Linked DNA regions of Saccharomyces cerevisiae S288C. The main gene of each other region encodes a partner of the protein of the gene in region 2 in a complex. Each region holds a gene or a part of one and is shown on either strand. Other genes may lie near its edges.

The links.
Region 1: FIP1 (region 2) and PFS2 share a complex: the UniProt entries of both Saccharomyces cerevisiae proteins name them as parts of the cleavage and polyadenylation factor (CPF) complex.
Region 3: FIP1 (region 2) and CFT1 share a complex: the UniProt entries of both Saccharomyces cerevisiae proteins name them as parts of the cleavage and polyadenylation factor (CPF) complex.
Region 4: FIP1 (region 2) and SSU72 share a complex: the UniProt entries of both Saccharomyces cerevisiae proteins name them as parts of the cleavage and polyadenylation factor (CPF) complex.

What each region holds. Positions count from the first base shown.
Region 1 is NC_001146.8:37,867-43,171, forward strand, and holds PFS2 (cleavage polyadenylation factor subunit PFS2), read left to right. Parts: upstream 1-2,752; coding exon 2,753-4,150; downstream 4,151-5,305. Other genes in the region: YNL320W (uncharacterized protein), read left to right, coding at 1-688; HXT14 (Hxt14p), read right to left, coding at 841-2,463; prephenate dehydratase PHA2, read right to left, coding at 4,205-5,209. UniProt on the Saccharomyces cerevisiae protein: Integral and essential component of the cleavage and polyadenylation factor (CPF) complex, which plays a key role in polyadenylation-dependent pre-mRNA 3'-end formation and cooperates with cleavage factors including the CFIA complex and NAB4/CFIB.
Region 2 is NC_001142.9:601,713-606,593, reverse strand, and holds FIP1 (cleavage polyadenylation factor subunit FIP1), read left to right. Parts: upstream 1-2,390; coding exon 2,391-3,374; downstream 3,375-4,881. Other genes in the region: transcription factor IME1, read left to right, coding at 943-2,025; BUD4 (Bud4p), read right to left, coding at 3,516-4,881. UniProt on the Saccharomyces cerevisiae protein: Polymerase-regulating component of the cleavage and polyadenylation factor (CPF) complex, which plays a key role in polyadenylation-dependent pre-mRNA 3'-end formation and cooperates with cleavage factors including the CFIA complex and NAB4/CFIB.
Region 3 is NC_001136.10:1,061,163-1,069,088, forward strand, and holds CFT1 (cleavage/polyadenylation factor CFT1), read left to right. Parts: upstream 1-2,189; coding exon 2,190-6,263; downstream 6,264-7,926. Other genes in the region: rRNA-processing protein BFR2, read left to right, coding at 1-69; PRO1 (glutamate 5-kinase), read right to left, coding at 343-1,629; mannose-ethanolamine phosphotransferase GPI11, read left to right, coding at 6,569-7,228; RSC3 (Rsc3p), read right to left, coding at 7,567-7,926. UniProt on the Saccharomyces cerevisiae protein: RNA-binding component of the cleavage and polyadenylation factor (CPF) complex, which plays a key role in polyadenylation-dependent pre-mRNA 3'-end formation and cooperates with cleavage factors including the CFIA complex and NAB4/CFIB.
Region 4 is NC_001146.8:226,658-231,253, forward strand, and holds SSU72 (RNA polymerase II subunit A C-terminal domain phosphatase), read left to right. Parts: upstream 1-2,436; coding exon 2,437-3,057; downstream 3,058-4,596. Other genes in the region: SQS1 (Sqs1p), read right to left, coding at 1-442; cysteine protease ATG4, read left to right, coding at 713-2,197; ribonuclease P/MRP protein subunit POP1, read right to left, coding at 4,411-4,596. UniProt on the Saccharomyces cerevisiae protein: Component of the cleavage and polyadenylation factor (CPF) complex, which plays a key role in polyadenylation-dependent pre-mRNA 3'-end formation and cooperates with cleavage factors including the CFIA complex and NAB4/CFIB.

The DNA.
Region 1 (5,305 bases), on a different chromosome or scaffold from region 2:
GCTAACCCTAATTACACAAGACCACATTAAACTCGAGGCATGGGATATCAAGAATGAAAACTCAACAAGTACTGTGTTGATCTTATGTCCCAATGCCGGTAATATTGGATACTTTATACTAATAATTGACATTTTCTATCGTCAGTTTGGAATGAGTGTATTTATTTATTCGTATCGTGGTTATGGTAACTCAGAAGGTTCACCCAGCGAAAAGGGTTTGAAATTGGACGCTGATTGTGTCATATCGCATTTGTCAACGGATTCTTTCCATTCAAAGAGAAAACTAGTATTGTATGGTAGATCTCTAGGTGGTGCTAATGCTCTTTACATTGCTTCAAAATTTCGGGATCTATGCGATGGCGTTATACTGGAGAATACATTTTTGAGTATTCGAAAAGTTATCCCATATATTTTCCCCCTTTTGAAACGCTTTACGCTTTTATGTCACGAAATCTGGAATTCAGAAGGCCTTATGGGAAGCTGTAGTTCAGAGACGCCATTCTTGTTTTTAAGTGGATTAAAAGATGAAATCGTTCCACCCTTCCACATGAGGAAACTGTACGAAACATGTCCTAGTTCGAACAAAAAGATTTTCGAATTTCCACTTGGTTCACACAATGATACTATTATTCAAGATGGGTACTGGGATATAATAAGAGATTTTCTAATAGAGAAGGGTTTTATCTAAAAGTAATAATCAAAATATTTGATAGATTTATTTACTTTACTGTATGTAAAGAAAATGTGGTCAGTCCTCACGGCCACTTAGTTACTGATGGTTATTTATTATGGAAAAAAAAACTGCACTTTGCTACTTCTTCTATTTATATTATGTAATATCTACTCCGGTTCAAATATTTTATTGATCTCTTGCTCATTCTTTTTCCTCGTTTCAGGAACTAGTATCCAACTGAATATTATCAACGCTAATAGGCAAGCAGCAAATATGTATCCTAGTTTGAAATCAATTTTGGATACAATCATTGGTGTTAAAAGTGATATTAAGAAATTGAACATCCAATTGATAAATGTGCAAATAGCCATTGATATGGCCCTCGTTCTTAGAGGGAACAATTCGGACACTAGTACAAATGTAACTGGGCCCAATGTTATTGCAAACCAAAAAATAAAACAACAAGTCACGATAATTAAAACAATATTTGAGAAGTCCGTTTCTCTTCCAAATGTCCCCACAGTAGCATATGTCATCATATAAAATAATAAATTTGTTGAACCATATAATAAACATGTCTTGTGGCCCCATTTCTCCACGTAATATATGCCTAATATCGTAGAAAGGAAGTTAACACTTGACAGTATGATTGAAGTAATATAAGGATCCTTAATCCCGACACCTTTGAAAACAGACGTTCCGTAATAAAAGAAATAATTTATTCCGGACAGCTGTTGAAATGCCATTATCATCATACCAATAATCAGTCTCAACCATAACTTTGGCTTTCCCATAATAAATTCAAATGTGTTTCTTTTAACTAAGCTTTGCTTTTTTGATTCGTTGTTAGTTTCCTCATTATTATAGTTATTTTCCAGCAAATCATCGATGAATTCAATTACCATGCTATCCGTCGCAGGGATGCCATTCATCCTCGCAAAAGAGTATTTAGCAGAGGGCACATCATTTTTGATTTTTGCCAAGTACTGTGGAGATTCAGGAACGTAAACAAGTGACATTCCAATTATAATTGCCCAAATGTATCCCAAGAACAATGGCAATTGCCAGGCTATATTTTGTGTAGGATCTTTATAACATCTTTCGCATATGAAATTTAAAATGTTTCCCATTAGTATGCCAAATGTTACAATCAATTGATACGTAGATACCATGGAGCCTCTGATTTTTAGTGGAGAATTCTCGGAGAGAAACATTGGCACCAAGACAGTGGTTACTCCCACACCGATTCCCGTTACGGCTCTTCCCAATGTCAAAAAATACCACCTTCCATAGGAGAGAATTTGAATGGTTATACCGATGCAGTACACTACTAAGGCAAACCATATACCACCTTTCCTACCAATCCAATCACCGATTTTTGACAGAGTTAAAGCCCCTACGCCACAACTGATGTTAAAAATACTGATAATTAGGCCTATTTGCAGATCAGTAAGTTTCTTAGTAGATACAAAAATTGTTTCATCGTCATGGATAATATTAGTTGTGCCAAATTTTTCTTGAAAGCTAACCATATTTGTCATTCCACCGATGGTTCCAATGTCCCATCCAAAAATAAAGCCACCAAGCGAGATTACCAAGCACAATAAAACGGGAATATGCAGACTCGCATTGTGACTAATCTTTGCTGCTTGGCCTTCTATATTTTCTTCTTTATCATCTAGATACTTAATGGTTACATTATAATCCCTTCCCCTGCCTGCATCAAGCTCATTATTGTGAAAATGAGAGATGTATCCCGAGCTATGTTGATACGGAATCTGAGCAGTCATTTCTAGCAATAATTGAAGTACTTTACTTCCTAAGAATACGTTAACAAATTCTTTGTTAGTATTTCTAATTAAAAGTGGTTAATTGTTCTGTTAAACAGTATTCAATGTTGCTATTTGAATTTGTGTCATCATTAGAATTACTGACATTTTTATTTTCTATTTTTTTTTCTATTTTTTTTCCTCTTCTTTTGAGGGCCGACGTATCGATTTGTCAAGGGAAGTATAATTAAAGAAAGCACTGATATACAGGTTGCTGGGTAGATATTAAGAAGCTCAACATAGACACGTTATGGACGGGCATAATCAGAACCAGTACCAGAATCAGAATCAAATTCAGCAGTCACAACAACCACCTCTGAAGAAATATGTGACACAGAGACGATCGGTAGACGTGAGTTCTCCGTATATTAACCTATATTACAACAGACGACATGGATTACCGAACCTAGTGGTAGAGCCAGAAACTTCATACACAATAGATATAATGCCGCCTAATGCCTACAGAGGTCGAGATCGAGTCATAAATTTGCCCAGCAAATTTACGCATTTAAGCTCGAATAAAGTGAAACATGTGATACCCGCCATCCAATGGACCCCAGAAGGCAGAAGACTTGTAGTAGCAACTTATAGCGGAGAATTTTCTCTATGGAACGCATCTTCGTTTACGTTTGAAACCCTCATGCAAGCACATGATTCGGCTGTGACTACAATGAAATATTCTCACGACAGTGATTGGATGATTAGTGGGGACGCAGATGGAATGATTAAGATATGGCAACCAAACTTTAGTATGGTTAAAGAAATTGATGCTGCACACACGGAAAGTATTAGGGATATGGCATTCAGTAGTAACGACTCGAAATTTGTTACCTGTTCAGATGATAATATCTTGAAGATTTGGAACTTCAGCAATGGCAAACAAGAAAGAGTATTATCGGGGCACCACTGGGACGTGAAAAGTTGTGATTGGCATCCCGAGATGGGGTTAATTGCCTCCGCATCTAAGGACAATTTAGTAAAACTGTGGGATCCGCGTTCCGGAAACTGCATATCATCAATTCTGAAGTTCAAACATACTGTCTTGAAGACGCGATTTCAACCCACCAAGGGAAATCTATTAATGGCGATTTCAAAAGATAAATCGTGTCGTGTGTTCGACATTAGATACAGTATGAAGGAACTAATGTGTGTAAGAGATGAAACGGATTATATGACACTAGAATGGCACCCAATAAATGAATCTATGTTCACTCTGGCGTGCTATGACGGCTCGCTAAAGCATTTTGATCTTTTACAAAATCTAAACGAACCTATTTTGACTATTCCATACGCCCATGATAAGTGTATCACCTCGTTATCATATAATCCAGTAGGACATATATTTGCCACAGCAGCTAAGGATAGAACCATAAGATTTTGGACTAGAGCGAGGCCAATTGATCCTAATGCATATGATGATCCAACTTATAACAATAAGAAGATAAATGGATGGTTTTTTGGCATCAATAACGACATCAATGCTGTGAGAGAGAAGAGTGAATTCGGTGCGGCCCCGCCACCACCAGCTACACTTGAACCACATGCGTTACCAAACATGAATGGATTCATCAACAAGAAACCGCGTCAAGAAATCCCAGGCATCGATTCAAACATCAAGAGTTCCACATTGCCAGGTTTAAGCATATAAAAGTGCGCTTTGACGAGATTTTAGGATACATAAATAAAAAGACTATATAACATATTATTTGTGATAATATCTCTCATTTCTGGGGAATGTACCCCACAGGCACCACTGTTTACTTTTGTCGCTGATATCTTCATAGAATTTTTCTTTATTCTTTGGGGTATTCTTCTCGGTGTAATATTCAATGAAAAATAAATATCGCCAGTTTCTATCATGTTCGTCCAAATGGAATGGTCTAGAGTTTATAGAACACATGTTGAGTGAATGGATTTTTAGTATGTTCAAAACATCTACCAAAGAACCAGGGTCATCTTGACGAGTAGTAAAGGTGAGTAGGTTAACCCGTAGTAATCCAGTGTCTTCTACTTCATTGTCGCCTGCGTTCTCCCTTCTCTTCAATACTAAAAATCTTGTTGTATTTCCTAGCTTATCATTTATCGAATGTTCAATGATGTACGCCTTATGCAATTGGGCAGCTGTTTCACTAGCAATGGCTAAATGCAGAATGTTGTCGCAATCGGCCGTTGATGACCGAATGCATTGGTTCACTGATTCAGATGTGGAAGAACAATCCAATCTTATAAAGGTGACCTGCGGAAATTTTTCTGCCATGGACCTTAAGTAACATTCAACCTGGCCCCATACTTGCGGATGTGAGTGTATTATGACTTCTTCAAAATTTCCAAGGGATGCAATACCATTTGGTAGTTGGATTGGGCTGATTAGACAATGGGTAATGGGTACATATTGCTCCGCTATAACTTCTATATCTGGTGTAATTCTATTAGTATCTGCTGGAGCAGGTAAGGATAGGGCTTTTTTGATCATCCTATCACGCAAGAGATCATAGGAAAAAACTACTTGTCCATTGGTGGAATTTTCCAACGGTACCACTGAATAATCTATACTAGTGTCGTTCTCCAATTGGTTAAAACATTGGGGGATAGAGGCTGCTGGGAGGTACTCAACATCAGATGTTGATTGAAATTGTTGTAATGCAGCTTGATGGGAATACGTACCTTTGGGACCCAGAAAAAGAACCCTCAAAGTCTTGCTGGCCATAATTGAAGGATGAATGCGGAAATATAATGAAGTTGCTTTTCGTACTTTTTTAGCCTGTTCTTTCTGCGTATTATATTCATCTACTAAAATTTTTAT
Region 2 (4,881 bases):
TGAACTGCCCATCCTGCATCCTAACACAGATCTAACTCACTATTCGGGTAAGGAAGTGTCATGCATGTCTGCAAAGGGACTAGAAGAAAGTTACATGATTACATAAGCAAAAAATCGGAATTACAGACACACCATTTTTTATCCTGCGGCCCCATTTCCGTCTTCGAGGGAAAGGATCAAAGGCGCTTAGCCCAATCTTGATGATTCACCGGGGAAGAAAGGAATTACAGAACCCCCAGCCACGTAACACAGCCAATTAGTTTTCTATATCGGGAAACGTGATTGATTGCGCAATTTTGGCTGCATCAGAATACATCGATGAGATCTAGAGCACCCTTTGATGGTTTAAGTCCGGTTTAAAGTTAGTAGATCAATGATTTCGTAGTGCATTTTAAAGGGAGCGCTTATCCATGGGTGATTGCGTTTACAACGTTTTGTGTGTACTCATAATAGCCAATCTAAAATTAAACAACAACAACAACGCACAATTAATATGTATCAGCCCCAATACCTTTTTCTCTTACTGTAATTTACTACTAAATTGGGGTCGGACGTTTTTGATCTTGTTCCTTGCCTGTTGTTTACCTTGTATATTACTTTTCCTCTTTTATGTATTTAAGGTAAATTAATTATCTTTTGATCTTAATATTTTTCTCAAAATGCTTCCCTTGTAGTTCGGTATTTTTGCTTCTTCAGATATTTAAACTACCGTATACCATAACTGTTTCGTGAAGTAGATACAAACATCGACTATCCTATTACGATTTATTTTACATTATCATATTATAAATCGACCAGTAGTATTGTTAAAGATTAAAAGCATAATATACTACTGTCATTAGTCACCTACAGAGAAACAAATTCCTACTGGCACCCATTACTGGTGAAAAAGGAAAAAAATAATAAAAGAAAAGCTTTTCTATTCCTCTCCCCACAAACAAAATGCAAGCGGATATGCATGGAAAACTTCACGCTGCCTTAGAAGATGGTTTCTTCCTCTTTCCTTTTGAACAGCAACAACAACCTAACATTTATTATGACACAACCACCGATCAAGAAGACCGTCCTTGTTTTTCTTTTGGATCTACAATTTCCCCTAGAAGTTGGCATTTTGAAAAGTCTGACAAAATTGCCTCATCTCAGCTGCAGAACTTGGTTCATACACAACCAATTCATTTAATTAATCCTCAAATATTGTTCAATGAAGAGTTTCTGAATTTGGAAAATATTGATTCTCAGCCTATTTCCAAGGAAACGAAAACTACGAAGGACTGCACAATGGCAACTGGTCCTGAAAGAGGAAAAAAGAGCTCTGAAAGTACCAGATCCTCTTCATTATCATCTCTTTTTTCTAATGATGAATCCGCATCTACGTTCCACTCATCATTCAATAACCATGATAACTTTCAAAAGAGCAACAGAAATGGAGATGATATCGATATTAGTGACACAATAAAATATGAAACTAATACAAATGCACAAAAAGATATCAAAATATTCCAAGAAAATTTTGAATTCAATGAATTCCCATACACACAAGACTTCTACCCATATACCACTAATTATACCTATTCAAAACCCACAAATATTCATGAATCAATAAATTCAAAAAACACGGATTCATACTCCCAATATCAAGATCAGTTTCCACCACATACTGATAACATACATTCCTTTAATAATCGTCACTATAGCAACCATAAAAGCACTAATTGTAATTACTATAATAATACCAGCAATAATAACAACGCCTCCGATAATGTATATGAGGCAGATCCATTTATAGATGAACCTCAGGTGCCCTCCTACTATTACCCATTAGAAATTGCCTTCGACGTTGAAAAATCACCACCGCCATCACTACAAAAATTAAATTCAAAAGAGTTAGAATTCCTAAAAAAGTTGAACTCCAAACTGTCAAGATATGCTGCGGCTTACTCCTTCAGCAGTTCTAATGATCAAGATTATTATGACAAGGTCAGGTTTCAAGAAATATCCTACAAGTTTAGTAAAACCTATTCTTAATTCTCGAAAAGTACTACAATCTTCCCCCTTCCCTCAAAATATATCCATTCACACTCATTTCTTTATTTCCATTGTCTCACTCAAATTGCTAAGAATTTGTGTATTTGCATATATATATATTATATATAGGTATATATATGTATTCAATGTCTCAAGCTCCATGACATAATACCGTAGCGTTATTAGCCTTATCGTATGTCGCGATGGGAAAGGAGATTCGTTTTAATCTTGAAAAACCTTCGTAGCGAATAATGCGACATAAATCTTGAGAGAGTACATCACCAAATTCACTTTGTTAAACCGCACCATCGTGCTTTGCATTCTTATTCCTTTTGCCTACACTAAAATTATTAGCATTTCTCTAAATGAGCTCCAGTGAAGACGAAGACGACAAGTTCTTGTATGGTTCCGACTCCGAATTAGCACTACCTTCATCTAAACGATCAAGAGATGATGAAGCAGACGCAGGTGCGTCCAGTAATCCTGATATAGTTAAAAGGCAAAAATTCGACTCTCCCGTGGAAGAAACTCCAGCTACTGCCAGAGATGATCGTTCTGATGAAGATATCTACTCTGACTCCTCAGATGACGATAGTGATTCTGACCTAGAGGTTATCATAAGTCTGGGTCCTGACCCTACTAGGTTAGATGCAAAACTACTCGATTCTTATTCTACCGCAGCGACATCTTCAAGCAAAGACGTAATTAGCGTAGCTACAGATGTATCCAATACCATCACAAAGACATCAGATGAAAGACTAATAACAGAAGGAGAAGCAAATCAAGGTGTAACGGCAACGACCGTAAAAGCTACAGAGAGCGATGGAAATGTACCGAAAGCAATGACTGGTTCTATAGACCTGGATAAAGAGGGAATCTTTGATAGTGTTGGCATAACGACAATAGATCCTGAAGTATTAAAGGAGAAACCCTGGAGGCAACCGGGGGCCAACTTAAGTGATTATTTCAATTACGGTTTTAACGAATTTACCTGGATGGAGTATTTACATAGACAGGAAAAACTACAACAAGATTATAATCCTAGGAGGATCCTAATGGGCCTATTATCCCTCCAACAGCAAGGGAAGTTGAATTCCGCGAATGATACAGACTCAAACCTCGGTAATATAATTGATAACAACAACAACGTAAACAATGCAAATATGTCTAATCTGAACAGTAATATGGGTAATAGTATGTCTGGAACACCAAACCCTCCCGCTCCACCAATGCATCCAAGCTTCCCACCCTTACCTATGTTTGGTAGCTTTCCACCATTCCCCATGCCAGGTATGATGCCACCCATGAACCAACAGCCTAATCAAAATCAAAATCAAAATTCGAAATGAATGGGGATCTGTGAAATTGAAATAAAAATATATCGTCCATGATTCACGTATTTACTCTTATTATGTGTATTTAATTAATCTTTAAACTAAAGACCTCTCAGTCATCAGATTATATGCTGTTTTCATTCCATTAATCACCTTCTAATTAAAATCTTGCTTCAAATTATGACCGGTTGTTCGAGTCTTTTCCTCCTCAGCTAACTTTTCACAATACTTTTTCACCCAGGGTTGATGGAAAACATTCAACTCAACAACTTCCTGGAGCTTATTGTACCAATCACTTTTTTCCTCATTAGAGCATTCCGCGTTGAAAGTAATTCTTTCACCATCGTCAAATACTAGCTGGAAGCATTCATTAAAGAGTACCCAATCTGTAAAATTCCTTTGCCCTCCATTATCCGCCTGGATGTCTTCATTACGTAGGACTTTCGTGACTTTCAACAGATTAATATCGATCTTAGCCTTTCTAGAGATTTCATGATAACCAGAAAGTTGCGAGCCGTGCAGTTTGAAAAACCTGTTTTCTATCTTTCCTTTCAGATCACCACCATCCTGCAATAAATACCCTTCTTTATAGATATTTTGTTGCAACTTGTATTTGGAAACAATCTTATTGACCAATGAAAATTGTTTGGGAAATTGTTCAAAGGCAGAAGTTCTTTCTAAGAAACATGCTTCCACATCCAACGAAGCCACTTTGTGAGGCGCCTTGCGTGGTAACTCGTACAGCCTTTTTGAGCCGTGAATTTTGTCTGCGATTCTACTCCACTTGTTAATCATATTGTAATGCATATGACTGGTATTAAATGCCACGTTTTTCAAAAACTCTTCATTAATTTCAATTTCACAACGAGCAAATGAACCGTCTTGTGCAAATAGATAATCCCACTCATCTTGTTTAGGTTTTTTCTGTACATACTTCTTTTCAAATTTATACTTTGTCTTTCCAAAAAAACTCTTACCCACCGGCACCTTGTCTACTATTTCGACCAATTCATGTCGAGGTTTTTCATATTTACATTTTAATGTGATAACACATTTTTTGTAGCTATCTCTTTCAGAAGAAGCGGAGGATGTTTCGGCTTTTCCTTTAAAATCTATGGGCAATTCAAATTCCTTATTGATCCTGATGTTACCGTCATACGGAAGCGACTCCCAGGGTGTCTGAACGACATTTTCCCCATTGTCAAAAACAATAGCATATGTTGCTCTATGACTCTTAGTTCCATATAATGCAAGCGTGGAAATAGCCTTTATACTTAAATAAAGTGTTCCCATATCCGGAAATTCTTGTTCAACGTCTTGTGGTTCTTCAAGTTGAGTTATCGTTTCTTCTTTTGCTTCGACGTTATCTTTTGTCTGCGCTAGCAGTGGAGGAATATCTTGTTTCAAACCATCGGTTTCTTGCTGCGTCATTGGCTCTATTTCCTCTTCAGCCTTAATGTTTATTTCATTATTCTCTTGTTTGTTTCCAGCTTTCACGACCTTGAAAGGACTGCTAACATGC
Region 3 (7,926 bases), on a different chromosome or scaffold from region 2:
CATGCCAGAATAGAAAATGACGAAGAATTAGAGGCTGTTAAAAACGATGATATCCAAATCTTTGGTTGAATATACATTTATTTTAAATACGCACAACTCATTTAATTTAGGGCTTATAAGTAGATAGAAGGATTTTAACGGATCACAAAAAGTAGCTGTTAACAACTACCTTTTTTTTGAGTTAAGAACACTAATGTGGATTAGGAAGAAACAGCTGCTCTGCACAATTCTTCAAAAAAACAAAACATGCTTAATGTGTCATTATTTAACCTGGAAATATAAAGGTAGTGTTTTATATAAGAAATATCATTAAGGGAATCCTCTATAACTTTTTAGTTCGTTTCAACGAGGTGGGAATGCCAAATTTTCTCTATGAGCGACATATTCGCTGTCATTATAGCCCAATTCCTCTTCGATTTGGTCACTGTGCAAACCTTTAATTTTAGTTAATTCAGAACTCGTGTAATTGCATCTTGCCTTGCCTACTGTTTGCAAGGGAAAATCTGGATCTAACGTGCCATCTGGTAACTTTTTACCAACTTTTATGTCAACACATTCTAACTCATGGAAAGTGCCCTGAACATCAATAACACCTGCTGGCAATAATCCCGCCTTATTTTTCCTTGTTAAGGCTGCGTACGCACCTTGGTCTATAACAACAGCGCCTTTAGAGACAAGACCGTGTAAAATCCAAAACTCTCTATTCTTTAGATGGTGTTTATTATCATTAGCAATGAACTTCGTATGTAGTGGAACGTTAAGAGCCTTTAATTTCTCAAATTCTCTTTTTTGCAAATCCGTTAAATCGCCATTATATGCTTGTTTAACTTTATTTTCATCGTCAAGTTCTAGAGTTTGCATATACTCGACAATTCTACCTATATTCGCAGGTGTATCGCTTTTCATGATCAACGTATGAACACCGGCATTCGTTGCCAAATCTGCAGCAACCAATTTAGTTTCCATACCACCGGTCCCAACGTCAGAACCTGAACCACCAGCAGTATTCACACCGGGCAAACCCTTTGAGAGATCTGGGACAACTAAGATCGGCATGGCATCTGGGTTTGTCCTTGGATTATCAGTATACAAACAGTCAACATCTGTCAGTAAGAAAAGATAATCTGCATGGATTAAAGCAGAAGTAATTGCTGATAAAGTGTCATTGTCACCAAATTTGATTTCTCTAACAGATAGTGTGTCGTTTTCATTCACAATGGGAATAACGCCCATGTTCAACAATTCATTAATTGTGTTTTGAGCGTTCTTATATTGGGTCCAGTCCAGAATATCATTTCTGGTCAATAGAATTTGAGCGATACGTTGATCAAATTGCGAAAACAGAAGATCCCATCTCCCGATCAATCTACCCTGCCCAATAGCTGCGATGGCCTGAACTTCTGCTAAATGTTTTGGTCTTTTATTCATACGCATAGTCCTCAAACCAACAGCAATACCACCACTGGACACGATGATAACTTTGTGTCCCATTCTTCTCAATTTGACTACAGTTTCGACAATAAGCGACATGATAGCTAACTTAGGTTCTTTGGTTTTTTCATCTACTAGCGATGAAGAGCCTAATTTGATCACTATAGTATACGATTTACTCTCATTAGCATCCTTCATTTTCGCGTTCTTATGACTATATTACAGTAGCTGATAAAATGACCTAAACTATGCCTATCTTTGAAGCAACTAGACATTAATCTTGAAAGACCGTTTTGATGGATGAATAATTCATCGAGAAAGCATTAGTTCGCTGATGTAATTTTTCATTTCCTGCCATCATGCGATGTGTGGGTGCTATTTATTTTCAATTCCTTTACCAAGGTACCTGATAGTGTCATAAATAAATAAATTTAGACCAAAATGTAACCATTGATAAGTGAGAGTCTTAAATTTAACATGTTCATACTTTAACTGGTGCTCAACCGATATATTATGATTCACTGTGCCACTGACCAGCCCTATTAGTGACATTTTGTGCTTCCTCATCCCGTCGGCTCCCAATAAGACAACGTAGTAAGTGATCTTAATATAAGGTAAGTTCGAGGTGACATATTTCACAGAGCAGCGTTAAAGCAATCATATGTAAATTGAGGAAGATCACCGTCCCTTGAACACTTCACTGATTAAAACTATCAGGTACTAACCTAGATTCGCTTTTTACTCTAGCTACTGGCCCTATGAATGTATATGATGATGTGCTTGACGCTACTGTTGTGTCTCATTCATTAGCAACACATTTTACTACTTCAGATTATGAGGAGCTCTTAGTGGTGCGAACAAATATCCTTTCTGTCTACAGGCCTACTAGGGATGGTAAACTGTATTTGACTGATGAGTTTAAGTTTCATGGCTTGATCACCGATATAGGCCTCATTCCCCAAAAAGACAGTCCGTTAAGTTGCCTGCTTTTATGCACAGGCGTCGCTAAAATCTCTATTTTAAAGTTCAACACGCTAACAAACTCAATCGATACCCTAAGCCTGCATTACTACGAAGGAAAGTTCAAGGGTAAATCGTTGGTAGAGCTGGCCAAAATTTCCACCTTGAGAATGGATCCTGGAAGTTCTTGTGCCTTACTGTTCAATAATGACATTATCGCTTTTCTACCCTTCCATGTCAATAAAAATGACGACGATGAGGAGGAAGAAGATGAGGACGAGAACATAGACGATAGTGAATTAATCCATAGCATGAATCAAAAATCCCAAGGGACGAATACTTTCAATAAGAGGAAGAGAACCAAGTTAGGTGACAAGTTCACGGCTCCAAGCGTGGTATTGGTAGCGAGTGAGTTGTACGAAGGCGCCAAAAATATCATAGATATTCAGTTCTTGAAAAATTTTACTAAACCAACGATAGCGCTCTTATACCAACCAAAGCTTGTTTGGGCAGGAAACACCACCATTTCAAAACTCCCTACACAATACGTTATACTCACATTAAATATCCAGCCTGCAGAAAGTGCCACCAAGATTGAATCAACCACAATAGCATTTGTCAAGGAACTGCCTTGGGATCTACACACCATTGTACCTGTTTCGAATGGTGCTATCATTGTGGGAACCAATGAACTGGCATTTCTAGATAATACTGGCGTTTTACAATCGACAGTATTATTAAACTCATTTGCTGATAAAGAGTTACAGAAAACAAAAATTATCAACAATTCTTCATTGGAAATTATGTTCAGGGAGAAAAACACTACGTCAATTTGGATACCTTCGTCCAAGAGCAAAAACGGAGGAAGTAATAATGACGAAACACTACTACTTATGGACTTGAAATCCAATATATACTATATCCAAATGGAAGCAGAGGGCAGGTTACTGATTAAATTCGATATTTTCAAGCTACCTATAGTCAATGATCTTTTGAAGGAGAACTCCAATCCAAAATGTATAACACGTTTGAATGCCACCAATTCAAACAAAAATATGGACTTATTTATTGGGTTTGGTTCAGGAAATGCTTTGGTTCTCAGATTGAATAATTTGAAATCTACCATTGAAACAAGAGAAGCACACAATCCATCTTCAGGTACAAATAGTTTGATGGATATCAATGACGACGATGATGAGGAAATGGACGATTTATACGCCGATGAAGCTCCTGAAAATGGACTAACAACTAATGATTCCAAAGGCACTGTGGAAACTGTTCAACCTTTCGATATCGAACTGTTATCATCTCTAAGGAATGTTGGTCCCATCACATCGTTAACTGTAGGTAAGGTATCTTCCATTGATGATGTGGTAAAAGGACTACCAAATCCAAACAAAAACGAGTATTCGCTAGTTGCCACATCGGGAAATGGTTCAGGTTCTCATTTGACCGTCATACAGACTAGTGTTCAACCGGAAATTGAATTAGCATTGAAATTTATCAGTATAACACAAATCTGGAATCTGAAGATCAAAGGAAGAGATAGGTACTTAATAACTACTGATTCCACAAAATCCCGGAGTGACATATATGAAAGTGACAATAACTTCAAACTTCATAAGGGCGGCCGTTTAAGAAGAGATGCTACTACAGTTTACATTTCAATGTTTGGTGAAGAAAAAAGAATAATACAAGTCACCACCAATCACTTATATTTATATGATACACATTTTAGACGTCTCACCACAATTAAATTTGACTACGAAGTTATTCATGTTTCCGTCATGGATCCGTATATACTAGTTACCGTATCAAGGGGTGATATTAAGATATTTGAATTGGAGGAAAAGAATAAAAGAAAATTGTTAAAAGTTGATTTGCCAGAAATTTTGAATGAAATGGTTATTACATCTGGTTTGATTTTGAAAAGCAATATGTGTAATGAATTTTTGATTGGGTTGAGTAAGTCTCAAGAAGAACAGTTATTGTTTACATTTGTTACTGCAGATAACCAAATTATCTTTTTTACTAAAGACCATAATGACAGAATCTTTCAACTAAATGGTGTTGACCAATTAAATGAATCTTTATACATTAGCACTTATCAACTGGGCGATGAGATCGTCCCTGATCCATCGATTAAACAAGTAATGATAAACAAACTGGGCCATGACAATAAAGAAGAATACCTGACAATATTAACCTTCGGAGGAGAGATTTACCAATATAGAAAATTACCACAAAGACGTAGTAGATTTTATAGAAACGTTACAAGAAATGATCTAGCTATTACTGGTGCTCCTGACAATGCATACGCCAAGGGTGTTAGTTCCATCGAAAGAATCATGCATTACTTTCCCGATTACAACGGTTATTCGGTAATATTTGTAACCGGTAGCGTTCCATACATATTAATAAAAGAAGATGATTCCACACCGAAGATTTTCAAATTCGGAAACATACCATTGGTTTCAGTCACTCCCTGGAGCGAGCGTTCAGTCATGTGTGTAGATGATATTAAAAACGCCAGAGTTTACACACTAACTACTGACAATATGTACTATGGTAACAAATTACCATTGAAACAGATAAAGATCAGCAATGTGCTTGATGACTACAAAACTCTGCAAAAACTAGTCTATCATGAAAGGGCTCAATTGTTTCTTGTATCTTATTGCAAGCGGGTTCCTTACGAAGCATTAGGAGAAGATGGCGAAAAAGTAATTGGTTATGACGAGAATGTTCCTCATGCGGAAGGATTTCAAAGTGGAATTTTACTCATTAATCCAAAAAGTTGGAAGGTCATTGATAAAATCGACTTTCCAAAGAATTCTGTCGTCAATGAAATGAGATCCTCTATGATTCAAATTAATTCAAAAACTAAGAGGAAAAGAGAATACATTATAGCCGGTGTTGCCAATGCCACCACTGAAGACACTCCACCAACTGGCGCTTTCCATATTTATGATGTGATAGAAGTTGTTCCCGAACCTGGTAAACCTGATACCAATTATAAGCTCAAGGAAATTTTTCAAGAAGAGGTCAGTGGTACTGTATCTACTGTTTGTGAGGTTAGTGGAAGATTCATGATTAGTCAAAGCCAAAAAGTTCTAGTAAGAGATATCCAAGAAGATAATTCCGTCATACCAGTGGCATTTTTGGATATTCCTGTTTTCGTTACGGATTCTAAAAGCTTTGGTAATCTTTTGATAATTGGTGACGCTATGCAGGGGTTCCAATTTATTGGTTTTGACGCAGAACCATACAGGATGATTTCATTGGGCAGAAGTATGTCGAAATTTCAAACAATGTCGCTAGAGTTTTTAGTGAACGGAGGGGATATGTATTTTGCGGCAACAGATGCTGACAGAAATGTTCATGTTTTAAAATATGCGCCAGATGAACCCAACTCTCTTTCGGGTCAACGTTTAGTCCACTGCTCCAGTTTCACGTTGCATTCCACCAATAGTTGTATGATGCTTTTACCAAGAAACGAGGAATTTGGCTCTCCTCAAGTGCCATCGTTTCAAAACGTTGGTGGCCAAGTGGATGGGTCAGTCTTCAAGATAGTTCCTTTAAGTGAGGAAAAATACAGAAGACTTTATGTGATTCAACAACAAATCATCGATCGAGAATTACAGCTAGGTGGTTTAAACCCTCGCATGGAAAGATTGGCCAACGACTTTTATCAGATGGGTCACTCTATGAGGCCTATGCTTGATTTCAACGTTATACGGAGGTTCTGTGGATTAGCTATTGATAGACGGAAAAGCATTGCGCAGAAAGCAGGAAGACATGCGCATTTTGAAGCATGGAGAGATATCATAAATATTGAATTTTCAATGAGATCTTTATGCCAGGGTAAGTGAACAATACATATAAAGGATATTTAATGCTAACTAGCCCGATATATACATCTATCTATCACTAGGCATTCGAGTAGTGAATAAGAACCACTACTTGAAACACTAGATTTGTAACAATAACGCATGTATCATCGTACATTTTCGGAACTATTTACGTAACGCGGGGATGAGGAAAAAGTTACTTTTTGCACAGCAAAAAAAACAAATAAAGAACAGTTAGTGAAATAAAGCAAAAGTGCAAACGGTGCCTTTAATCAAAGACTTTGCAGGAACATAAACAAGTGCACTAAAGAAGGTCCAATTTAAATATGCCAGCTAAAAAAAGGACTAGAAAGACAGTGAAAAAAACCGTATCATTCTCCGATGACACAACATTAACAACGCACCAAAATCGTGAGAAAAAGAACGTAGATCATGATCGTCCACCTGTGTATGTGAGGAAAACCCCTCTGATGACATTTCCATACCATTTAGTAGCACTACTTTATTACTACGTTTTTGTATCTTCAAATTTCAATACGGTGAAGTTGCTAAGTTTTTTGATTCCTACACAAGTTGCTTATTTAGTTTTACAATTCAATAAATGCACAGTTTACGGTAACAAAATCATTAAGATCAATTACTCATTGACCATTATTTGTCTAGGTGTTACATTTTTGTTGAGCTTTCCCACAATGTTATTAACTATATTATTTGGTGCGCCATTAATGGACTTATTGTGGGAAACCTGGCTGTTGTCACTGCATTTTGCATTTTTAGCATACCCTGCAGTTTATTCTGTATTTAATTGTGATTTCAAAGTGGGATTATGGAAGAAGTATTTTATCTTTATCGTTGTAGGGGGTTGGATTAGTTGTGTTGTCATTCCTTTGGATTGGGATAGAGATTGGCAGAATTGGCCAATTCCTATTGTTGTTGGAGGTTATTTGGGCGCTTTGGTGGGCTATACTATCGGTGCCTATATATAATATCGGTAATTTAAAAATTTGTATATAAAAAAATATAAGTATGATAGAGGTAACATAAACTGGTCCTATGCACAATTGAAAAATCTATGACAAAAACTAAATGATCTTTATACCAAACCCACCTATATGCTATTTGTACCATCTTAAAAGAAGGTAATAACTTCCATACAGATAAATAGCTAACAACATTAAATATCTCCCACTCTCCTCATTCTTTTCTTTTCATAATTTCCTTTTTCTGATTTATTCATTCTATATAAAAAAATAATACAAATCCTCAGATTAAATAATAAATACTATAAAAGTCTCAACTTCTTCTTTAATTTGTTTGAGTCGCTTTAGCTACGAATAGCCTCAAAAACTTCGTTGAAATTCTCCTTTGTTAAACCGAAAGTATCCGAATTTGCGTCGCTATCAACAGGAGCTGCTGCGCCTAAAACTCCATTAGAAACTGTGCTATTTTTCCTCTGTTCATAAAAATCCGTTTTTATCAGAGATTCTGAAATTTTACTCAACTCGTGATTTAATTTAATCAACTGCTCTGCAGATATGCCAGAAAATCCGTTATTAATGGAATAATTTGAATCGGCGCTAGTCGTTACCTTATTCTCCTCAAGATTTTTGATATACTTGGAGATTGTCTTAATTTTAATAATCAGATTTTCGATGAGTTTATTTTGCTTTTTACAATTCTTGGT
Region 4 (4,596 bases), on a different chromosome or scaffold from region 2:
TCTTTGTTTCGTTCTTTGCTCTCAGTTTTTGAATCATATTGTGGGATGGATCGTAAACTTCCTTAGCTTTTACAAATTGCATAGGTCTTTTGCGGAATGCTGCCCTTCCTGCTTGTAGGTCAGTTGAAGAATCATATCGATTACCTGGTCTTAAACCACCCATTTTCATAGAACGGCTCTTGGCATCGCGACCAAAATAATAGTCTTCTATAGTTTTTGGTGATATGAATGCTCTTCCTGGGTTGAAGTCGGCGCCTACATCATCAAGATCACCTTCTCCTAGTGGTATAGAAGAGTTATGCCAACTGTTAGTGGGAGTAGGTTTTTTCTTTATCTTTCTGCCTTGTATGCCTTTAGCATTCCCCCTGCCAGCTTTCTTGGAATTGCTACCACGTGCATGCCTACGTCTGCTTCCTTGATAATGACTATGCCTTTTTGCCATTTTTTTTGACGGTTACAACAATTTATGCTTATATTTGACTCTGCGATTAAATCACTTCTTCCTTCTAGAAACTCTGCGCAGGCCTAATTGTTGTTGTTTTGTTCAGATCTTATTTAATTGTAAAATGTCAAATTTCACTTTTATTCTTTAGGCGGTGACCGTTGCAGCTGCCAACAATAGCGCCTCAAAGGAAAAAAGTAAAAATATACACACAATAACGTTAGTAGATGAAGAATGGACGACTTCTTATCACGTATAGGAGTGATATACATGCAGAGGTGGCTACAACTGTGGAAAATGGATTTGGTACAAAAAGTGTCTCATGGCGTTTTTGAAGGCTCGTCCGAAGAACCGGCTGCTCTTATGAATCATGATTATATAGTATTAGGGGAAGTATATCCTGAGCGAGACGAAGAATCTGGCGCTGAACAATGTGAACAAGACTGTCGATATCGCGGTGAAGCGGTTAGTGACGGGTTTTTAAGCTCTCTTTTTGGTAGGGAAATTTCTTCTTACACAAAGGAATTTCTTTTGGATGTACAATCAAGGGTCAACTTTACATATCGGACAAGATTTGTTCCTATAGCAAGGGCGCCAGATGGGCCTTCACCTTTAAGTCTAAATTTATTAGTACGTACAAATCCGATCAGTACAATAGAGGACTATATAGCAAATCCTGATTGCTTTAACACTGATATTGGGTGGGGGTGTATGATAAGGACAGGACAAAGTTTGTTGGGGAATGCCTTACAAATCCTTCATTTGGGCAGAGATTTCAGGGTAAATGGTAACGAAAGTCTGGAAAGAGAATCAAAATTTGTAAATTGGTTTAATGACACGCCTGAGGCTCCATTTTCGTTACATAACTTTGTTTCTGCAGGTACAGAACTCTCTGATAAAAGACCAGGTGAATGGTTTGGTCCCGCAGCTACGGCAAGGAGTATACAATCTTTAATATATGGCTTCCCCGAATGTGGCATCGATGATTGTATAGTATCTGTTTCATCCGGCGATATCTATGAAAATGAAGTTGAAAAAGTATTTGCTGAGAATCCAAATAGTAGAATATTGTTCTTGTTGGGCGTGAAGCTCGGGATTAATGCGGTAAATGAGAGCTATAGAGAAAGTATATGTGGTATCTTAAGTTCAACACAGTCAGTAGGCATTGCCGGCGGTAGGCCGTCTTCATCGTTGTATTTTTTTGGTTATCAAGGAAATGAATTTTTACATTTCGATCCTCATATTCCTCAACCGGCAGTAGAAGATTCATTTGTAGAGTCGTGCCATACCAGTAAATTTGGTAAATTGCAACTATCGGAAATGGATCCCTCGATGCTCATTGGTATTTTGATTAAGGGCGAAAAAGACTGGCAACAATGGAAGCTAGAAGTTGCAGAATCTGCTATTATCAATGTTCTTGCTAAGAGAATGGATGACTTTGATGTGAGTTGTAGTATGGATGACGTGGAAAGTGTAAGTTCTAACTCAATGAAGAAAGATGCAAGCAATAATGAAAATCTCGGAGTACTAGAGGGAGACTACGTAGATATTGGTGCAATATTCCCACACACAACAAATACAGAAGATGTAGACGAATATGATTGTTTTCAAGATATTCATTGCAAGAAACAGAAGATTGTTGTTATGGGAAACACACACACTGTTAATGCGAATTTAACAGATTATGAAGTAGAAGGCGTCCTTGTAGAGAAGGAAACGGTAGGTATTCACAGTCCTATTGATGAAAAATGCTAGTGTAAGGAATTCACTAGTTCATAAGCATATATACTTGTTTTAATATATTCCCTAAAACTGAGGTATCCAGTTCTTTTGTTCTTATTCGTTTGATCATCCTTTACGTATTTTTCGTCTGCGGCAGTGGAAAGAACTTAAAAAACGAAAGATAATAAAGAAAAAGGCCAGTCGGCACGAATTAAAGACCACCTGTAAGAAGATTAAGACAACGGTGGTATAAACTAGTGTCGAAGTCCAAAATGCCTAGTCATCGCAATTCAAACTTGAAGTTTTGCACAGTTTGTGCATCAAACAACAATCGTTCAATGGAATCGCATAAAGTCCTGCAAGAAGCAGGCTATAATGTTAGCTCTTACGGAACAGGTTCAGCTGTGAGACTGCCTGGTCTATCGATAGATAAGCCTAATGTGTACTCATTTGGTACACCCTATAATGATATATATAATGATCTTTTATCACAATCAGCAGACCGTTACAAGTCGAACGGTTTATTGCAAATGCTGGATCGTAATAGAAGACTCAAAAAAGCACCTGAAAAATGGCAAGAAAGTACAAAAGTCTTCGACTTCGTTTTCACTTGTGAAGAGAGATGTTTTGATGCCGTTTGTGAAGATTTGATGAATAGAGGTGGGAAATTAAACAAAATAGTGCATGTAATTAATGTTGACATTAAAGATGATGATGAAAATGCTAAAATTGGTAGCAAAGCTATATTGGAATTAGCTGATATGCTCAATGATAAAATAGAACAATGTGAAAAAGATGACATTCCCTTTGAAGATTGTATAATGGACATTTTAACTGAGTGGCAAAGCTCACATTCTCAACTACCGTCATTATACGCTCCTTCATATTACTAAACAAAACGGTCAATTACTGTAGAAAAGCATAAGCATTAAGCGGCCCTCATGAATCCTACATTATCCGTGAAATTTCAATACTTTCACAAGTCTTCGATAGCTTCCTAGTTATATTCATTATATAATATTACGTTTCTTGTTGCGGCTCTCTTAAGCACATTATTTGCTTGTTGTCCACATAGCTATTTTTTTATCAAGAAGCTTGATATACAACACACTGTATTTTTAGTAAGCTGGACAATGTCTTGTCTCAATGTAGCGTATAACAGGTTTCATTCCAAAACACATCACCAGATATAGGACTGAAATGAAGAAAATAGAAGCATGAAACTTTAAAAGTTTCAGTACTTTAAGAAAGAAATAAATAGAAAAATGTTCCATTTATTTCTGAAAATAAATCAAAAATTATAAGATCCACCCGTTCCTACCAAGACCTTCCAAAATTTTTCCCATAACGGGAACGAGCAAAGTTGAGACTGCTCAAAAGAGCACATCTTCAAACTACAATCCCGACCAAATAATCTCAACAGCCATACCTTCATCATAAACTTAAGTTCATTCGAATCTGCCGTCAAAAACTAAAATGGCACGCTAGAGAAAAGTAGTCAAAAAGAATGCCTCTACAAAGCTCTCTTTTGAAAGGCCCCAGCTCCCCTAACACCAATTTGAATTTGGTGTCAAACTTCTCCAGGCAGAAGAAACAAAGGGCCCCAAAAATCAGTTTAACCCAAAAATCCCCAAAGGAATCAAGGGATTAACCAATGATTGAAACAAGGGAATGGAAACGTCAGCAAACACGCCTTCCGCGCCGTATGTGTGTGTGACCAAGGAGTTTGCATCAATGACTTCAATGAACAATTATAGTTCAATGATAAATGCTTAACGTCCTTCTACTATTGGAAGCGCATGTTTGATCAGTAGGACTTCTTGATCTCCTCTGATATCTTAAGGTAAGTATGAGGATTTTAAAAAAATTCAAGAAAAAACTATATTTTAACGCTAAAAGTATGTTTGTAAAATAGTTCTATTAAATGGAACTTCTTCTCTCTATTTATACGTCTTGCCAATGGAAAACTCGTCGCCTTAGAAAAAAAAAAGGTGCAAAGACGGGTAATAATTTCATTGACATTTTCAAGAGCTAGGGAATGAATCAATGAGCCCTATGATGGCAGCGTAGATCACCGTATTTAAATTAACATATAATAAGATTTGTTGCCACTTTCAATCTCTAAATGTGTACGTATAGAGTTCCAGGAAGCAAAAAGACCATTATTGCGCGATATGATTGCTATTTGCCCTCTGTATACATAGCTTTATAGGATATCGGTCGTACATATAATTCAGTTCAGTTCATTATACGGATATTTTCGACCACTCCCCCAACCTATAAGTGTTGGTACCTACATTTCTGATCAGTACATACCTAGTTGGTTGCCGGATGGCCGCATGATGATCTATAAATCCGATTCCCATACCATTTCCACAATTTAAGTGGTAGGTGCCGCTGGTAATAAAACCAATCAAATCATGTACCTCTGG